Linked DNA regions of Caenorhabditis elegans. The protein of the gene in region 1 interacts with the protein of each later gene in a pairwise test. Each region holds a gene or a part of one and is shown in the gene's direction. Other genes may lie near its edges. The genes, in order: magu-1, T11B7.1, hlh-30 and kca-1.

What was found.
Region 2: the proteins of magu-1 (region 1) and T11B7.1 interact in a two-hybrid assay, tested with the Caenorhabditis elegans proteins (one large-scale study listed by BioGRID).
Region 3: the proteins of magu-1 (region 1) and hlh-30 interact in a two-hybrid assay, tested with the Caenorhabditis elegans proteins (one large-scale study listed by BioGRID).
Region 4: the proteins of magu-1 (region 1) and kca-1 interact in a two-hybrid assay, tested with the Caenorhabditis elegans proteins (one large-scale study listed by BioGRID).

The regions. Positions count from the first base shown.
Region 1 is NC_003281.10:468,655-473,334, reverse strand, and holds the start of magu-1 (MAGUK family), read left to right. Parts: upstream 1-1,632; 5' UTR 1,633-1,639; coding exon 1,640-1,718; intron 1,719-2,012; coding exon 2,013-2,323; intron 2,324-2,927; coding exon 2,928-3,140; intron 3,141-3,449; coding exon 3,450-3,530; intron 3,531-3,641; coding exon 3,642-3,828; intron 3,829-3,874; coding exon 3,875-3,972; intron 3,973-4,680. Other genes in the region: nemp-1 (Nuclear envelope integral membrane protein), read right to left, coding at 1-104, 158-240, 590-672, 722-876, 924-1,002.
Region 2 is NC_003282.8:8,839,173-8,843,362, forward strand, and holds T11B7.1 (Centrosomal protein of 162 kDa), read left to right. Parts: upstream 1-1,544; 5' UTR 1,545-1,552; coding exon 1,553-1,619; intron 1,620-1,901; coding exon 1,902-2,109; intron 2,110-2,158; coding exon 2,159-2,581; intron 2,582-2,699; coding exon 2,700-3,020; intron 3,021-3,081; coding exon 3,082-3,400; 3' UTR 3,401-3,633; downstream 3,634-4,190. Other genes in the region: T28C6.7 (Kinesin motor domain-containing protein), read left to right, coding at 1-260, 423-753, 968-1,000; T28C6.11 (uncharacterized protein), read right to left, coding at 491-711, 966-1,089.
Region 3 is NC_003282.8:4,025,114-4,029,839, reverse strand, and holds the start of hlh-30 (Helix-loop-helix protein 30), read left to right. Parts: upstream 1-1,712; 5' UTR 1,713-1,753; coding exon 1,754-1,933; intron 1,934-2,028; exon of another isoform or gene 2,029-2,112; intron 2,113-2,776; coding exon 2,777-2,962; intron 2,963-4,726.
Region 4 is NC_003279.8:4,759,272-4,763,136, reverse strand, and holds kca-1 (Kinesin Cargo Adaptor), read left to right. Parts: upstream 1-1,815; 5' UTR 1,816-1,829; coding exon 1,830-2,354; intron 2,355-2,403; coding exon 2,404-2,592; intron 2,593-2,643; coding exon 2,644-3,153; 3' UTR 3,154-3,317; downstream 3,318-3,865. Other genes in the region: viln-1 (HP domain-containing protein), read right to left, coding at 3,653-3,865.

The DNA.
Region 1 (4,680 bases):
ACATCCACTGGTGTAGTAGAAGACGACATTTCTAACGAGCTTGCTGGCGAGCAAAAATAGCACGATTGCTCCGACGTAGACACCAACACGGAAATAGTTGACTTCTGGAAGAATTTGTTTAACGATTTTTTAAAAATAAATTCAATTTAATACTAACTCCAAATTAAAACCGATATTTCGTATGGTTCAGTTGTGGAGACGCCGACGATTGTGTCATTGAACGGATTTAACTGATGAGATCTGCAAAATTTAGTTTAATTGTTGGATTTTTCAGAATATTTTACAGCTAGAGTTGGGATACCCGAAAATCCGTGACTTTCTGCAAAATCTTCGATGAATTTACTAAAATCCTAGCAGAAACGCAAAAGTTTAATCGAATTTTAATTAAAATTAGACGGAAAATTCGGAATTATTGGCTTTCTTCTAACTTTGGGTCTGCTAAATATTTAGCATACCCAACTTTGGTGTGCTAAATATTTAGCAGACCAAAATTTCCACGTTTCTCTGTTGCACATTTCTATTTATCAGCGAAATCCAACAAATTTTTGCTGATTTATCATAAAATCTGTGTCTTTTTCGCGGTCCAAACCTCAAAAGTGCGGCTTTCCGTAAAATTCCGAAATAACGATTGTCATTATCGTAAAGCTGTTGAACAGTTGTGCAGTTTGTACCCTGAAACAACTCCATTTTATATTTTCGCAAGCATTTCCCGAGAACCTACCTGATAAAACTGATATTGATCCGCATTTGTCAGATTAGTCTGCAAAAAAACATCGGTAAACGCGTATATCGCGTTGTAAGGTAGTGCTTTCTGATAGAAAAAGTCGAGATTGTACGAGTAAAGCTTGGCGCCGACACGAAGGACCTGGTTTAGAGCTGAAAATTATTTTTTTTTTAATTTTGAAACTTTAAAAAAGTCTTACCTGCCGGTTTTTGCTCACAATCCTCGAATTTATAGGCCAAGCTACCCGCGACGAGTAGTGCGAGGGTCAGTAAGCGCATCTGCGCCGAATTTTTGCTGAAAATTCAGAAATATTTGTTGGAAAATTAGAAGATGGGGAGAAATTCAACCGAAATTCAGAGAAAAAACGTGAAAATTCACATGAAAATTCGAAATCTAGGTTTTCGCGCTGCCGGGTCCCGCCACGAAAGTATTCTGTGGACTCCTCGTGGACAACTTTCAGTTATTTTGTTTTGTTATCAATTTTTAGTTAATTTTCGAAAATTTCTGGAATTCGATTCCAAAATCAGAAAAGAATGATTGAAAAATTCGAAGAAAATCGAAAAAATTGTGAAATATCGAAGGAAAGTCGATATTTATGAACTAAACTTCGCCAAAAATTGATTTAAACTCGAAAAATTAACGATTACAATAAAAAAATGTCATAAATTTTAATTTAAATACGTTTTATCAAACCTGAAAAAATAAAATTTAAATTCAAATTTCCTTGCAACGACACTCCGCCGCACGCCTTGTTTAACCGAGCCCCTCTAAATTAAAAGGTTCCCCCTTTGTTTTACACTAAAGTGCTCATTTTTTCGCTTTCAATTGATTTTTTGACAGAAATTTCGTGTATTTTTACGAATTAGTGCTGAAATTTGAAGAAATTTGAAGAAAAAACCGAATTCCAGATCTCAAATGCCCGACAATTTATCGGCAATATTTGGAACAATACTGGATTATGCAGAGGAAGTAGCAGCGGGGACATCTAATGAGAGTACGTGTTTGAAAATCGAGAAATTGCAAGACATTGAGCAGATAAAAGAGATTCTTGGCGGAAGAATAATACAATTTCGGCGAAAATTAAAGGAATTTTGGTCTGCTAAATATTTCGCAGACCCAAATATAACTTTTTTTTTGAAAATACGGTTTTTAGAATTTTAAGTAGATAAATAAGCTAGTTTAAACATTTTTAATCTTAAAAAAATCAAGTTTTTTATGGTTTTTAAGCAAATTTTAGCTACTTTTGAAAAAAAAAGTGGCAATAAACACCAATTTACTGAAATTCCAGACGACGAAAGGCCTCCACGAACAAGTTTAACGAAAAAGCAACAAAAAGCCGTATCAATTCTGCGGAATTTCTCAACAAACGACCAGAAACAAGAGATCTCATTTCAAGAACTATCACAGAACGTTCTCGACGACTGGGACATTTCAAATATCAAATCTTCGTCGGTTCAGCAACTCGTTGAGCTCCTAAATTTGCCACGTGTACAGGGAGTATTATGGGCGGCGCAGGAAATTTCAGCCGGGCGGTTTGCTCCGCAGCTTCCAGACGTTCCGTTCGAAGTTGACGAGGATGATGGGGTCGCTGTGAAAATTGTGAGGATCGACGGTTTTTGTTCGGAAATTCTATTGAAATTTTCAAAATTTTGGAAAAATTGGCTAGTAAAATTGACAATTTTTTCAAATTTCCACTTTTATAAAATTCTATTGGTCTGCTAAAATTGGCTTGGGTCTGCTAAATATTTAGCACACCCAACTTTGGTCTGCTAAATATTTAGCAGACCCAACTTTGGTCTGCTAAATATTTAGCAGACCCAACTTTGGTCTGCTAAATATTTAGCATACCTAACTTGGGTCTGCTAAATATGGGCATTGGTCTGCTAAATATTTAGCATACCTAACTTGGGTCTGCTAAATATTGGCAATGGTCTGCTAAATATTTAGCAGACCCAACTTTGGTCTGCTAAATATTTAGCATACCCAACTTGGGTCTGCTAAATATTTAGCATACCTAACTTGGGTCTGCTAAATATTGGCATTGGTCTGCTAAATATTTAGCATACCCAACTTTGGTCTGCTAAATATTGGTTTGGGTCTGCTAAATATTTAGCATACCCAACTTTGGTCTGCTAAATATTTAACAGACCCAAAAATTTTATATTCCATTTCATTTTTCTAATTTTTTGTTTCAATTTTCCAGGTGCGAATAGTGCGACGTGGCGAACCCCTCGGTGCAACAATAAAATGCGAACGTGGCAAAGTATACGTGGCACGAATAATGGCGAACGGTGTGGCAGACCGTAGTGGATGTATTCAGGAAGGCGATCGAGTATTGGAGGTCAATGGGATTACTGTAGCGGATAAGGAGCCCAGGGAAATCGTGAAGCTGCTGGATAAATGTGATAATGGAATTGTTAGTGATTTTGTTTTAAAAAATTCGAAAAAACAACAATTTCCTAGCAGTTTATCACGAAAATCAGAGAAAATTTGTAAAAAATCACATATTCGTATCGTCTTGTATACCTGAAAATTGCTAAAAAATTCTGTATTTGTTAAAAAACATTGAAGATGGATTTATTATAATTTAAAAAAAAAACCTGAAATATCAGAAAAAATTTGCATTTTCTCAGTAATTTGTAACTTTTAGCCTGAACTAAAAAAGTTTTTAAGAAAATCTATAAAAATACACGTTTTTTCTCAAATTTCCAATATTATTTTTCAGATAACCTTCAAGCTGATCCCTGCAGAAATAAACCAGAAGTTAAAGCAGAAAAAGTCGTCACATCGGTATGCCCGAGCTTTGGTAAGTGGTTTTTTCTAGTTTTTCTCAGAATTTTAGTCCAAAATTCGCAAATTTTTCAATTTCCAAGTAGAAATTCCGTAAAAATAGCCTAGAATTCTTCCTAGTTTTCAGTTCGACTACGATCCATGGCAGGACAAACGTCATCCCTGCCCAGAAGCTGCAATTTCCTTCCGCGGCGGTGATATTCTAGAGATCCTCGACGAAAAGGACCAATATTGGTGGCAAACTCGAAAAATCGGATTCGGAGCACTGGCGAGGCGGAAAGAGAGTCATGATGACGAGAATCGAGATGATTCCAGTGAGAAAATTGCGCTCTGAAATTCCAAAAATAATGATTTTTTCAGAAAAAGTGGGTCTCGTACCGTCGGAATGGCTACAGTGTCAATCGGAAATTCCAGAAAATGGAATAGATACTTCAGATGATTTTCAGTCATTTTTAGAGGTATAATTTTGGAAAAAGGGTTTAAAAGTGACTTATGACTTCAGAAAAATGAGAAAATTTAATTTTAAAAAAATCTAATTCCACGTGGTTTTTATCCAGATAATTGGAATTTTGGAGATCCAGAAAATTCCACTTTTGCACTTTTTTTCAGAATTTTCTTTAAAAAGCGTAGTTTTTTTTTCAATTTAAACGCTATAAAATATTGGCAACACTAAAGTCCAATCGGATCCTTAAAAATTCAAAAAATCGAAAAAAAAAGTGGAATTTGAGTAAAAAATCTATTTTTTGCGAGTTTTTGAACATAAAAATGGATTTTTCGTTAATTTTTAGGTAAAAAATAAGAGAATTTTCAGTGGAAATTTAGCTAAAATGGCGATTTTTAACGTTCACGACTGAAAATTGTGGGGTTTTTAGCGCGAAAAATCGATTTTTTTGGGATTTTTTAGGTTAAAAATGGGAATTTTCAGTGAAATTTAAGTAAAAAATCAATTTTTTGCGAGTTTTTGAACAGAAAAATGGATTTTTCGTTACTTTTTAGGTAAAAAAAAGAGAAATTTTTTCATTTAAAAAAAAACCAATTACACGTGGTTTTTATCCAGATAATTGGAATTTTGGAAATCCAGAAAATTCCACTTTTGCACTTTTTTTCAGAATTTTCTTTAAAAAGTGTAGTTTTTTTTCAATTCAAAGCTATAAAATTGGCAACAC
Region 2 (4,190 bases), on another chromosome or scaffold:
TCGGCTGATCTGAAGTCTCTGGAAGAGTTGGAACAGTTAAAAGAAGAACTTCGCATTGTTTCGGAGCAGAATGGATTGCTTAAGGATTCGGAAGCTCGATTATTGGATCACGCTGACGAGTTCGCCGTTCAAATGGACAAGTATCGTGAGAAATGCGAAGTTCTGACAGCAAAAATTGCAGAACTGGAAGCACAACTTCAGAATCCTGCTGAAGAAGATCAACAGCAGAAGACATCAAACGTCGAGCTAGTCAAGCTGAGGTGAGTTAAATCTTTTTAACGTTTAAATGAATTGGTGTATAGAACGAAATTTTATTTTAAACTAAAGTATTTGATAGCATGTTCCGGACATGTGAAAATCGAAAAAATAAAGTAACACACAATCAGAAAATTAAATATAGATTTATATTAATATTATTTCAGACAACAACTTGCAAATGCTCAACAGGATATGCGAGTTCAAAATCTGACGATTTCTGATCGTGAAGGTCTTATCGCGGAGTATCGTCATCAAATTGCCGAGCAGACCAAGACAATTGAAGAACTTCACTTGAAACTAAAAACCTTCTCAGCGGCGGCTCGTCGAACTTCTCCACGAGTGCCAATGTCATCGAATGTACCAGCTCTCTCATCCCGCCCATCATCCAGAATGTCAACGTCGTCACGAATCTCAACCGCGTCTTCGTTTGTGCCAGAATCCGTGGCAGTACCACTACAATCAACTGGATCAGCGTTTGATGTCGTCGTACGACAGGTATAAATTTAGCTTTTCATATGATTTCCAGATGCCCAAAACCTAATTGATCACGTTTTCAAACTTAAATTCTTCTGAAAATGTTATCTATGTTACCTTCAAACATTTTTTATGGCGACATCTAAAATAGTGGTATTTCGAAAAAAAATCTCATTGTACATTCGGCCGATATCGGATGCGATACACAAAACCAAGTAATCAATATTACTTACAGAGTGGCGAGCCTCTTCGACGTCGTAACAAATAGATGAGATGACCCCTGTACGTTGCCCGTGGAGAGTGTGGTTCACTGTTTCTTCCAACACTACAAATCTCCAACATACCATTCATTTGCATTCGGTGTTTTCTCCCTCCCTCTTCTCGTTTTTAATCTTTTTTACTTTTATTCTAGGTCTGTCAGTTCTGTAGGATCCCTAATTAAGTAACTTTTCCTCAAGTATTTTTTAATGTATATTCGTAGATCTGCTAAACCTAAATTGAATCGATAATTTTTGGAAACCTTCTTTTCGAGTCGATAATATACATGAGCGTTCTGTTTTATAGTTTTCATCCAGATGACTTGCCCATACGTCATCGTCAAGAGATGACTGATTAATTTATTATTTTTTACATCCAAAGTGCCTTGATATCGGTAGCTAATCGAGTTTTTTGAAGGGTTTTCATTTGTTTTCTTGTTTATAATGCACGAATTGTATGGAAATGATTGTAGTTATGATATTATAAGATATGAATACGGTTTCATTTAACTTCTTTTTTTTAAATCTGTTTTAGTGCAAGGATTTTGGATTTTCAGAGAGTAATGTCAGGAATCAAACCAAGTGTTTCAAAAGGAGAAAGTCAAGCACCGCAAACAAGACAATTGGAAGGTAAACATTTTTGAAATCACAGTGTTTCATAACAGGAATGATATTATTTCTGACGTTTTTTTTTGTATAATTAATCGAAGCTGTCACATCGCCTCGCGCACGCGTGTATGATAGGTTCCATTCGCAATTTGTTCCTGGAAAATTACGGAGAATGAAAGAAAAAGTGTGACGTCATGCGGGTTTTTCTACTTGCGTTTTATGTATCCCGTCTGAAAATCTGAAACATCGATAGTCACGCAGTCCTCTGAATACTTTTCCTCGTGAATGTATATTAAATTTCAGCGTCTAAGCCTACAGTTCAAGGAATAATTGATATTCTTCATGATACCATAAGCTATGTCCAAGTTGAGAAACAAAGTAAAACTATTAATTTTTCCATTCCTCATTTGCAAATGATTAAAGAACAGCTTGAAAGTATTCAATTAAAAGATAAAAACTACAAGGATTTGGAAAAAAAGTTCAATGAAAAACAGGATGAACATTTGGAAACGTAAGTATACTGTTTTTTCGTAATTTTTGTAAGATTAAACTTGTTTCAGAATCCAGAAGTTAGATTCAACACTCAGCCGTCAGAAGCTTAAGTATGATGATATGAGACAGGCACTTTCTGTAAAAATCTATACACTCGAGAATGAATGTTCCAATTTGCAAGACAACTATGCTGACTTGCAAAATGATTTTGAAGTTCAAATTGAAAAATTCAAAAAACTTCAAAACTTGAAAAGTATTCAAAATCACGAGAATTCAAAAAATGTGAATCCTCTAACATTGGATGAGCTCACCGAACAGTTGAAACAATTCAAAGAAGAACTAAGTATTGATCAGAAACTGAAAAATATTCAGTTAACTTGTGAAGGACTACAGTCAGCTGTTGGAAATTTTGAAATGAATTCGAAAAAAGCTAAGGAAATTGAAATTCTTAAAATGGATATAAAGAAGACACAAGAGCTCTATGAATCAAGGTAACTATGTTTATCTGTATAGTCGACCGAAAACATAACATGCACTGCCATCGAGATATAGTAATCTGTTTGGCAGTGTAAGAACAAACATTTTATGTTTCGTAATTACTTTTTCCAGACTGCTCAGGGCTGCTCAAGAAAACAAGAAACTGCTCAGAAAAAACGATACATTGAAAAACTATCTTGATAATCAAACAGCGAAAATTGGAGAGCTCACAGCTGGAAACAAAACAGAGAATCGTTCACCAACTCCAACATTGCAGGGACTTATTGAAATTCTTCAAAAGTTTTCAGACGATCAAAAACTTGAACCAGAATGTAAGATGCTGCAGTTGCATAAAGAGGAGTGTCGTTTGATTTTGGAAAGTCTTGAAGTGCACGATAAGAAAGATCAAGAGATTCAGTGGTTCCAAAGACAAATTAACGATCAGAAAAAAAGGTAAGTTTTGACGAAACATTTATATTTTGTTGATCTTAAAAACACATAAAAATTATTACAGAATCGCTAATCTTGGTTGGTCATACGAAAATGCTCTTGAAGATAAGGATGCTCTAGAATTAAAGCTTGAACATCAATACGAGCAGATGATGGAATTGAAAAAGAATTTCATTCCGAAAAACGAAATTTCTGAGGATTTGGCGAAGACTGTCAGAAATTTTGGAAAACGTCTCAGAAATTCTCGAGGAAATTTGAAGAATGCGTTCAAAGAATTAGAAGCTTTAAAAGAAGTTCAAGAGGAAGAAGGCTCATCAGATGAAAGTTCTGAAAGCAGCGCTTCTGATGATTTACCAGATGGTGACAGCTCGTCAGAGGAATAGCATCGAATCAGAAAATTGAGATTTCATTGAAATTAAATGTACCTTCTTACAATGACTAATATTTTAAAAAATTTTAACTATTCACAAATCAACGATTTTCTTGTTATTCGCTCTACGATATATCATGATTTCCCATTTATCCGACTTTCTCTTTGTTTTCAAATTTTCTTGATTATTCTGATTAACTTTACACTGTTCCAACTGTTCTTGTTTCTGAAATAAAATCTTCCAATAAGTCCTTCCAAGAACCAAAGACAAACTTATGTATAAAAAATGTCACAATTATAACAGCTGCGGACGAGCCCGAACAGGTTGAAAGTCTTTCTCAACCTGTGGACAAATGACGGTCCAACAGCCGGTAATGGACCTAAGACGGCCTTCAGTTTGCCCGCTATAAAACCGTACGTATTAGCCAGCGGTGGGCCACTTTTCACTGTTGCCGCTTCAAATTTGTCATGGCTTGGAATGGATAGAAGATTGTTGAGACGATGGGTATATCAGATTTCTTATTCTGTTCGTAAAGTCTGGATCATTTTGAGATTATTCTGCGTCTAATGATACAATTATCTTATTTATGTTCCTCGAGGGTGTCATTTTTCCATGCTATCGATTTTTTAGACAATCATAAATGTTGTTAGGTTGACCGAAGGCGCTGGAAGATGATGAACATGCCCTAAATTTTTGACTTTTGACAAGCCAAAGTTTACATTTCTGTTCATTAGATCTTTGAAAGCAATTTGATTTTTGTAACATCGGATAGCTTGATTGTGAGTCACATAGGATCTCTCCG
Region 3 (4,726 bases), on another chromosome or scaffold:
GAGCCAAGCCTATAGATCTAAGCCTAGGGTCTTAAGTTTCGGACTCTAAATCTGAAATTCAAACTTACGAGAAATTGAGCAAAAAGTGTTGTCAATTTAAACCCTTTTTCAATTTAATCATCAATATTTGCCCCGACCTCTGGAAATATCACAATACCACCAATCCGGCGCCCCAACTCCTCCTTTATTTCTCAGTTAGCCCCCCCCCCCCTACTGTTTGCCGAGTAACAATTCTCTGCGTCTTGCAAATTCCCAAAACTTCATTGTACATACACATATCACTATCATAATCATCACACACTAATTATGAAAGAGAATAGGCGCCGCGCTTATCAGTTGGCGGCGGGAGGCCGAATTCTCCTTCGTCGCCTAAAAAGAGAGGGTTTTGTCGAATAGTTTTGTTTTATTTTCGTATTTTCTTTGCGTTGGTTGGAATTTAAAACAAACTTTTGATGGCGTCATTGTTGCTTTGGATCATTTCTTTGTCATGTTTTTGTGATGATAACCTGTGTTTGGGTTGAAAAAAAATCGACTTTTCCAGGTTTTTGTTGACTTAGAGACTTTGTGAGGTCTCACTTTTTGAAATTGATAGAGTGCCACTTCCAGACCCCCTAAAACTTCCAGCAAAGCCGCTGGGTAAAAATTCTACTCGGATCATAGAACGATAACATTTTCTTCAAGTTGTCTTTTTTGATCCATCCGTTTTCGCCATTTTTTTGTTTCTGAACCTCGGAAGCTTAAAAAATTCTAATTTTCCTGAAAACCCTGTTTCGAACGACCTAAGTAAGCTTCAAATGTCAGAAGTCCCTAGGTGCAGCTCCAGAAGGCTTAGGTTCTTAGGCTTAGCTTCCTAATTGTTCGCCCTCAAGGTAGGAATTTTTGGAATATTTTGTTCAGGACATCTAATAACACTTTTTGATTTTATTTAGATCACCTTAGATTGCATACTGCTCCATTGCCCGAACCTAGAAAAAAATCCTTGTCCGAACAAAGGCCTTAAATTGTTAAGCTAGCTTTATCTTTTGAATTTCTCAGATTTTTCAAAACCGAATTTTGATCTCCCTCATCTTTTAATCTTCTTCTAATCAAATCAAGCCCATCAAACTGTTCAAAAAAAAAGATCTCTGGCCACCTCCTCCGAATACAGTTTGTTGTGTTCTTCTTATTTTTCTCGACCTAATCTCTGATGTCTTAACTATATGGACCGTTACTATCTTGTAATTAGGATGGGGCCAATGATTTTGTTTAGGAGTTTAGTATTCTAGGATTCCAGCTACGCAGACAGCTAGCCACCCCCAACTGCCCTTAAGTAGCCTAATCGCCATTGTCTCGACAAGAACTTGGCAGGAGGTGGGGGACACAGTAATAAACGAAATGATCGGTGGTGGAGGCTGTGAGAGAAAGAGATAGGGGCGGGCGCGTGTGCGCCCGTGTGCCCCATCTCTCGCGCCTCTCGCTCGATCCTTTGGGGAGGGGCTGCTGTTGCTGGCGACGACCTCTTGATATGTCACATTGTGTCTGCCGCTCTCTCGCCTCGTCCTCTCGTATCACCTCGGTCTCCCGCGACCCCTTTGGGCGCCTCTCTCCCGACCCTTCCACTCGGTTTCTTCTCTTGTCTTTCGCTCTTTTCCCTCTCCCCCTTTCGAATTTTTTTCCTTTTTTTCTACCAACCAATATACCTTTTTATCGATTGATTTTTTTTTAATTCTCAGATCCCGATACTGAAAAAAAAAATCAGCGAATAAGAGCATTCATGATCCGCCAACTAAATTCACCAGGCGGTGGCGGCGGCCTCGGATTGAACAATCCGAGAGCCCAGCAGCCACCGGGTGCTCAACAGCAGCAGCAACCACAACAAGCCCAGCAACAGTTCTACGATGACGAGCCATATCAGGCTAACGCGTCGCAGTTTCGATTTGGCGCCGGCAAAAGTGTAAGGGCTAATAATTTTCTAGGTTCAGGTTTAGGCCAACGACATTTGGTCTTTACACCCTTCAAATAGCCCCGTTTCTTATCAGCTCTCTTTCCCCCCGCTTTTAGTTTCCTGCTCCGGGCACCCAACTTCCTTCCGGGACACTTGAGTAGCCTAACTCACCAGAACTTTGTCTTGAAATTCGCTCAAGATAAGACCCCCATCTGACGATTGATTGACCGGTCATGTGTGGTGACAATACACAAAAAGAGAAAAGAAACAAGAGAGCGAATGAGACTTGATTGTTTTGTAGTTTGTGGTTTCGGCGGTCCGTTTGGGCTTGACACAGGCTTCTAGTTTCAGTCCTATCAACGTTCTTTGAGCTGATATCAGTTTTGACCTACTTTATCAATTTACCAATCGCATTACCATTTTCATTGCGAGCCAAAACTCGCATTAAAAATTTACAAACCTCGCTTAAAATTGTACTTTGCTCTCTTCGCCCATTTTCTAAGCTTGATCCGATTTCAATTTCAAATCACAAATCGAATTTCAAACTCAGTTTTCTCATCTCTCGACGCCAATTGTCATCACTTTGGGGCCGGCGAGGCGGTGGCGACAGGGGCAGCTAATTTATCAAGTAACAGGGCTGCTCAGTTTTCTGATCGGCTTTGATTTCCCTATCTCCCAAATTAGAGAGATATAGACACAATGTTTTTGGCACACTGCCAACTTCCCGCCCGCCGCCGCCGCCAATATAGTAGTAGTAAACAAAGCAGAGCGCTCATGGTGCATCAACGACCGAAATTTAGTAGTTATCTTTCCATAATGATTTCTATCTCTTTTCTTATTTTGTATTTTGAGATGGAACAACGTCGAGAGACGGGAAATCTGATTCCAATCGCACAACGATCGATGGGCTCGACGTCGACACCGTTCGGCTCAGCGCCTACACAGAGCTACTTTGGCGGAGGGAGCAGTGGAGCGGCATTAAGTAGTCCAAGGAAGATGCAGCAGACGCATCAGATGTTGTTCGGCAATATTCAACCGGTTAGTTTCAAATTTTATTAAAAGAAAATTTTTGTTTTCTTACATTGTTTGAGCTCAAAGTCTCTACAGAAATAAAACAAAAAACGAAACAAAATACTGCATTCTAACATAATTTTTAACGATTTTATGGAAAGTTTAAAGGTAGTTTACAAGTTTTTTTTACCCAGCTCAATTAATAGTAAGAAAAAAAGCAGAATTTTTGGAATTTTTTTCTTATGAAAAAAAGTGGGCCTGAAAGGGCTCCCCGGTAACTAAATTGTTTTGTGGTTCTTTTTTTTTAATCTGTGTAAAAGTACCTTTTTCAAGAGTTGGGGTTTCTTGGCTCAAAATAAGCTTAAACCCTGCTCTTCTTCGCTTAAAGGCGTAGGCACACAATTAAATTGCTCGACATTATAGATCTTCAAACTTTACGTAAAAATTTCTTCCAACTTGCTCCCCTGAAACTGATATCTTTTCATTTTTCTTGTAGATCTCCCTTTTTTGGCATCTGTTGTTAGCCTAACGTCGTAGGGTCAAATTATAGAAGTTTGAATTTTTACAAAAAAATTGTTCTTGATTGGCTTTAACAATATGACCCCCCCCCCTGAGCCATGTATTTGTTTTCAAGCACTTTTGCGCCACGGCGCCCATTCCATATTTTTCCTTCCACATTCTGCGGTCTCTCCCACTCCCAGATGACTCCACCCTAGACGGAACAGCTGAAAAACGAAAAACGGGCGCTGAAAAAATCTTGCGTTTGGCACGTAGCCCCCCCCCCCCCCGGGTCTCTGTCTGCCTCTTGGACAGTGTCACGTGGTGTTCGGCTAGCTTCTCTCGGCGTCCGGTTGTTTTTACACTCTCCGATGGTCTCTGACGTGTGGTAGTGGTGGTGGATAGGACTGAGAAGACAATGAGATGTTTGAGTTGAACTTTCAAGTTGATTGGTTGGGTAGGGAGGGGGCTGTATGTGGACTAAAAGGTCGAATAGGACCCTAGCTATCAACAGCGCATCAAATAAAATTTGACTTTATGATACGAGTCTGTACCATTTGACTAGCTCATTACAAAAACCCACGAAGCTAACTCCAAGTTCCCGGTATTTCGTTTGAAACTTTTTTGCCAAACTTCGATGCTCGTAGAATTTATCCAAAACCAAATTTTCTGAGATTATTAATTTTTCAATGTTTAGGCCAAGCTTTTTGAAACTTTTTCTGAAAAAAGCAGAGTTTTTTTTTCGATTATTTCGAAATCCGTCGAATTTTTCATAATCGGATTTTCCCAGATTTATAACGCATTCTCAAAGCTTTTTGGAAATTTTTAGGACTTTTTCTCCCCATTTTGTCAGTGCATTTTCGCTAGTTTCAAGTCCCGTAGAATTTCTCCAAAACCAAATTTTGAGAGATTTTCAATGTTTTAAAGCATGAGGAAAACTAGGCAAATATTCTGGAAGCTTTTTGGAAAAAAAAACATCTTACAAAAAAAAATTGAAATTTCTCGGAACCTGGGATCTTTTTTTTTTCACAATCAGTACATTTTCCCCCTAATTTTGAAACCTGTAGAATTCAGGGAAAATCTGATTTTCATAGAATTCTAATGTATTTAAGAACGTTGAGAACTTAACTTTTTTCTAGAAATTTTTTCGACCATTAGAGTTTGTTTCCCAGGAATTCGAAACTTGTACAAATTTCGTTATCACTCTTTATTTGAACTATTTTTCTAAAATTGTGAAGTCCTAATTATTAGTGTTGTACGTTTGAATCCGGATTCGTTTTCGCATTGAGACCC
Region 4 (3,865 bases), on another chromosome or scaffold:
AAAGGTGATGTAGTAATATTTGAGACTCTGCTCAAAAGCTTTTTATATGATCTAACAAGGCAATGTGCATAAGGGAAACATCACAAAAGTCTCCCAGAAAGATGTTATGATGTACAAAGTTCCAAATACTACTCTTTTCCTCGATCTAATTTGAATTCCGCGTGCAAATGATTTTTCAGATTCTCGGCCGTGTTCTCCTCTCGGGCAATGAACTTAAAAAAATTAAAGTTTCGGAGTTTATGCGATTCTTCGAATACTCGCATGATTATTTGTTTTTTCTGTTGAAATTTCAGAGTTTAAAACACATTTGATTTATTTCTAGAAATAAATTACTGGAAAATCAACAAAATACGGGATTAAATTTTAGCAACTTAACTGGATTTCAACTAGAAATGAAAAAATACCAAAGAAAAATGTTCTGAGCTCATGTAATTTCTTATAATTTTTTAAAACAAATTGGGAAGATTTTCGATTTTAAATCGATTTTTCATTGTCGCAAATATTGAAGGAAACTACAGTACTCTTTTAAAGACGCATGTGCCAAATTTTCCGGAGGTAAAGTCGCGCCGAGACCTGTGCAATGAAAGGCGCGTATTTTCGTATTTTCGTATTCTCATTTCACTTTTAGCCTTTTTGAATCACATTTTTCTCTTTTTTAGGATTAATTTTCGAAGCTTAAACTTAATTTTTTCGAAAATTTATTTATTCAATTTCCTTTTTCCACTTTTCCTTCCTTTTTTCCCAATTATATTTTCTCTTGCAGCCGTTCGATTCCAAATGGTTCGACAAGACGCCGGAGTGATGATCGGAGAAGATGCTCTGTCCTACTGCTCAGGGCAGAGCACTTCCGATTCATCATTTCGAACAATGAAATCGACTTCATTATCGAGCTCCTGGCATTCTATGGCATCTCCACACACTTCTGACGTACAAGGCGTCTCGTTCTTCCGGCCATTCAGCTGGTTTGTATGGCGTCAGACTGAGAAGGACTTGAAGAAGAAACAGGACAAAGAAACTGTCGATGAAATAATGAAGTGCTTCCGGAACAACGACGTCGACGGAATGGAGAAGTTTGTTGAAAAAAAGACTCGCGAGTCTGTGTCGTCAATGAAAAACGACGAGTTTTGGTGGGATGACGACGAGATTTCGTATTGGAAGCATCGAACTACTCCAGCACAAGATGAGCTTCCTGAGGATCTAATTTGAATTCCGCGTGCAAATGATTTTTCAGATTCTCGGCCGTGTTCTCCTCTCGGGCAATGAACTTAAAAAAATTAAAGTTTCGGAGTTTATGCGATTCTTCGAATACTCGCATGATTATTTGTTTTTTCTGTTGAAATTTCAGAGTTTAAAACACATTTGATTTATTTCTAGAAATAAATTACTGGAAAATCAACAAAATACGGGATTAAATTTTAGCAACTTAACTGGATTTCAACTAGAAATGAAAAAATACCAAAGAAAAATGTTCTGAGCTCATGTAATTTCTTATAATTTTTTAAAACAAATTGGGAAGATTTTCGATTTTAAATCGATTTTTCATTGTCGCAAATATTGAAGGAAACTACAGTACTCTTTTAAAGACGCATGTGCCAAATTTTCCGGAGGTAAAGTCGCGCCGAGACCTGTGCAATGAAAGGCGCGTATTTTCGTATTTTCGTATTCTCATTTCACTTTTAGCCTTTTTGAATCACATTTTTCTCTTTTTTAGGATTAATTTTCGAAGCTTAAACTTAATTTTTTCGAAAATTTATTTATTCAATTTCCTTTTTCCACTTTTCCTTCCTTTTTTCCCAATTATATTTTCTCTTGCAGCCGTTCGATTCCAAATGGTTCGACAAGACGCCGGAGTGATGATCGGAGAAGATGCTCTGTCCTACTGCTCAGGGCAGAGCACTTCCGATTCATCATTTCGAACAATGAAATCGACTTCATTATCGAGCTCCTGGCATTCTATGGCATCTCCACACACTTCTGACGTACAAGGCGTCTCGTTCTTCCGGCCATTCAGCTGGTTTGTATGGCGTCAGACTGAGAAGGACTTGAAGAAGAAACAGGACAAAGAAACTGTCGATGAAATAATGAAGTGCTTCCGGAACAACGACGTCGACGGAATGGAGAAGTTTGTTGAAAAAAAGACTCGCGAGTCTGTGTCGTCAATGAAAAACGACGAGTTTTGGTGGGATGACGACGAGATTTCGTATTGGAAGCATCGAACTACTCCAGCACAAGATGAGCTTCCTGAGGATCATAAATACACTCCACATCCATCGAAAGGATTCAAACTCCCTCCTCGTGTGTTGAAAGCAGTCCGATTCGAATTGGATAACACTCCGGAAGATCGTCAGCCACGGGTGAGAATATTTATTTTAACAACTTTATGCTAATTTTGTTGTTTTACAGCCGTTCACACCACTTTACACCAGCACGCCGAAGAATCCTGCAATCAATGAGGACGGAAGTGACGACGAGTACAGCTTGGTTCCATTGAGATATTGTGACTCCAACACAGTCGCTGTGCCAGCTGCAGTCTTCAACAACACTTCATCGATTCTACTTGATAATGCTGTAATTATGACAACGTTGAACAAGGTAAATTTCTTGAGTATATAATTTTATTGAACTAAAATCTTATTTTTTTAGAGTCGAGAGGAAACTAATGAAATTCTGTGCAAATCATTGAACAGAGATTTCTACCAGCTGGCCTATGTCGACTCGGAAGACGCTGAGCAAGACCACGGAAAGCCCGAACAATCAACTCAGAATCCCCTTTGCAACACATATGTCGTTCATTCGTCAGAGGAAATGTCATCTGAACCAAGCAGTTCGACCATCAACCTAGATCAAGCCAATGTTTCTGATGATGCGAGGAGCGCCATTCTGGGATTGGATCGTGTGGAAAATGCCATTCAGCGTGCACTTGCCAACCAGAATGGGCCAGAACAAGGACTCGCTAGGCAACTTCGAGAGCGCATCCAGAGCATCAAAAAGAGCATCGACGAGATCTGCAGCGAATGTCCGAATGGCCCGGAAATCGACACTGATCGTGTGAGCCGGGAAAGTGACCACGACGTATCCGCCGACTTCGAGGATTCGGATTGGCAGCCGCATTTGGAATCCGATGTCGGAAGTTTCGACGAATGCATGCTGTAAATAATATAAATTTATATTGATTAACTTGTAAAATACTCACCCATCCCGCTCGTCTTAAGTTTATAATTCCATGTCAAATATTATTATTCACAAGTGATCACATGTACTATAGTTTTATTGCAATATATTTTATTCTCGTCAAAAATAAAGACGATTATCACTTTAAATTTTATTTTGAAGGCGTCACTGTTGTAGGTCAGAAAGAAGCGGAAAATGGATTTGGATAAGCCGAAGTTGTACACTTACGAATGCTCCATAGCAATTTTTCCATATTTATTCACTGAATCATGCATTACATTTACTTTAAAGTTTCTTTTTTCTATTCAGATATTGCTCTTCATGCTATATTATCTGTTTAGTATGTAGTAATCGAAATCCAGTTAAACATTACACGCTTTTATTTATCAGGCAATCTATACAGGAGATAAAATGGCAAGGTGATAATACAGTAATGACGGTTTCACCGCCTCTAGTGAGTCAATATAAATAAAAAATATGTTCAGAATAGTCCAACTCTTTTCCGTGCATCGTTCTGTTTCCAAGTTTTTTGAGCATAAAATTCGCTTCTTTCAATTTTAAAAACTTTCATAAAATCGTCGTCAGTCAAGTAGCTCTCCAGACGTCTCATGTCCATTCCAGCTGGAAGACTTGTTCGTTCTTTCAGTTCTTCGAGTGAAAATGTTCTACAACGTTCTTTGAGAAGATCCGAAAC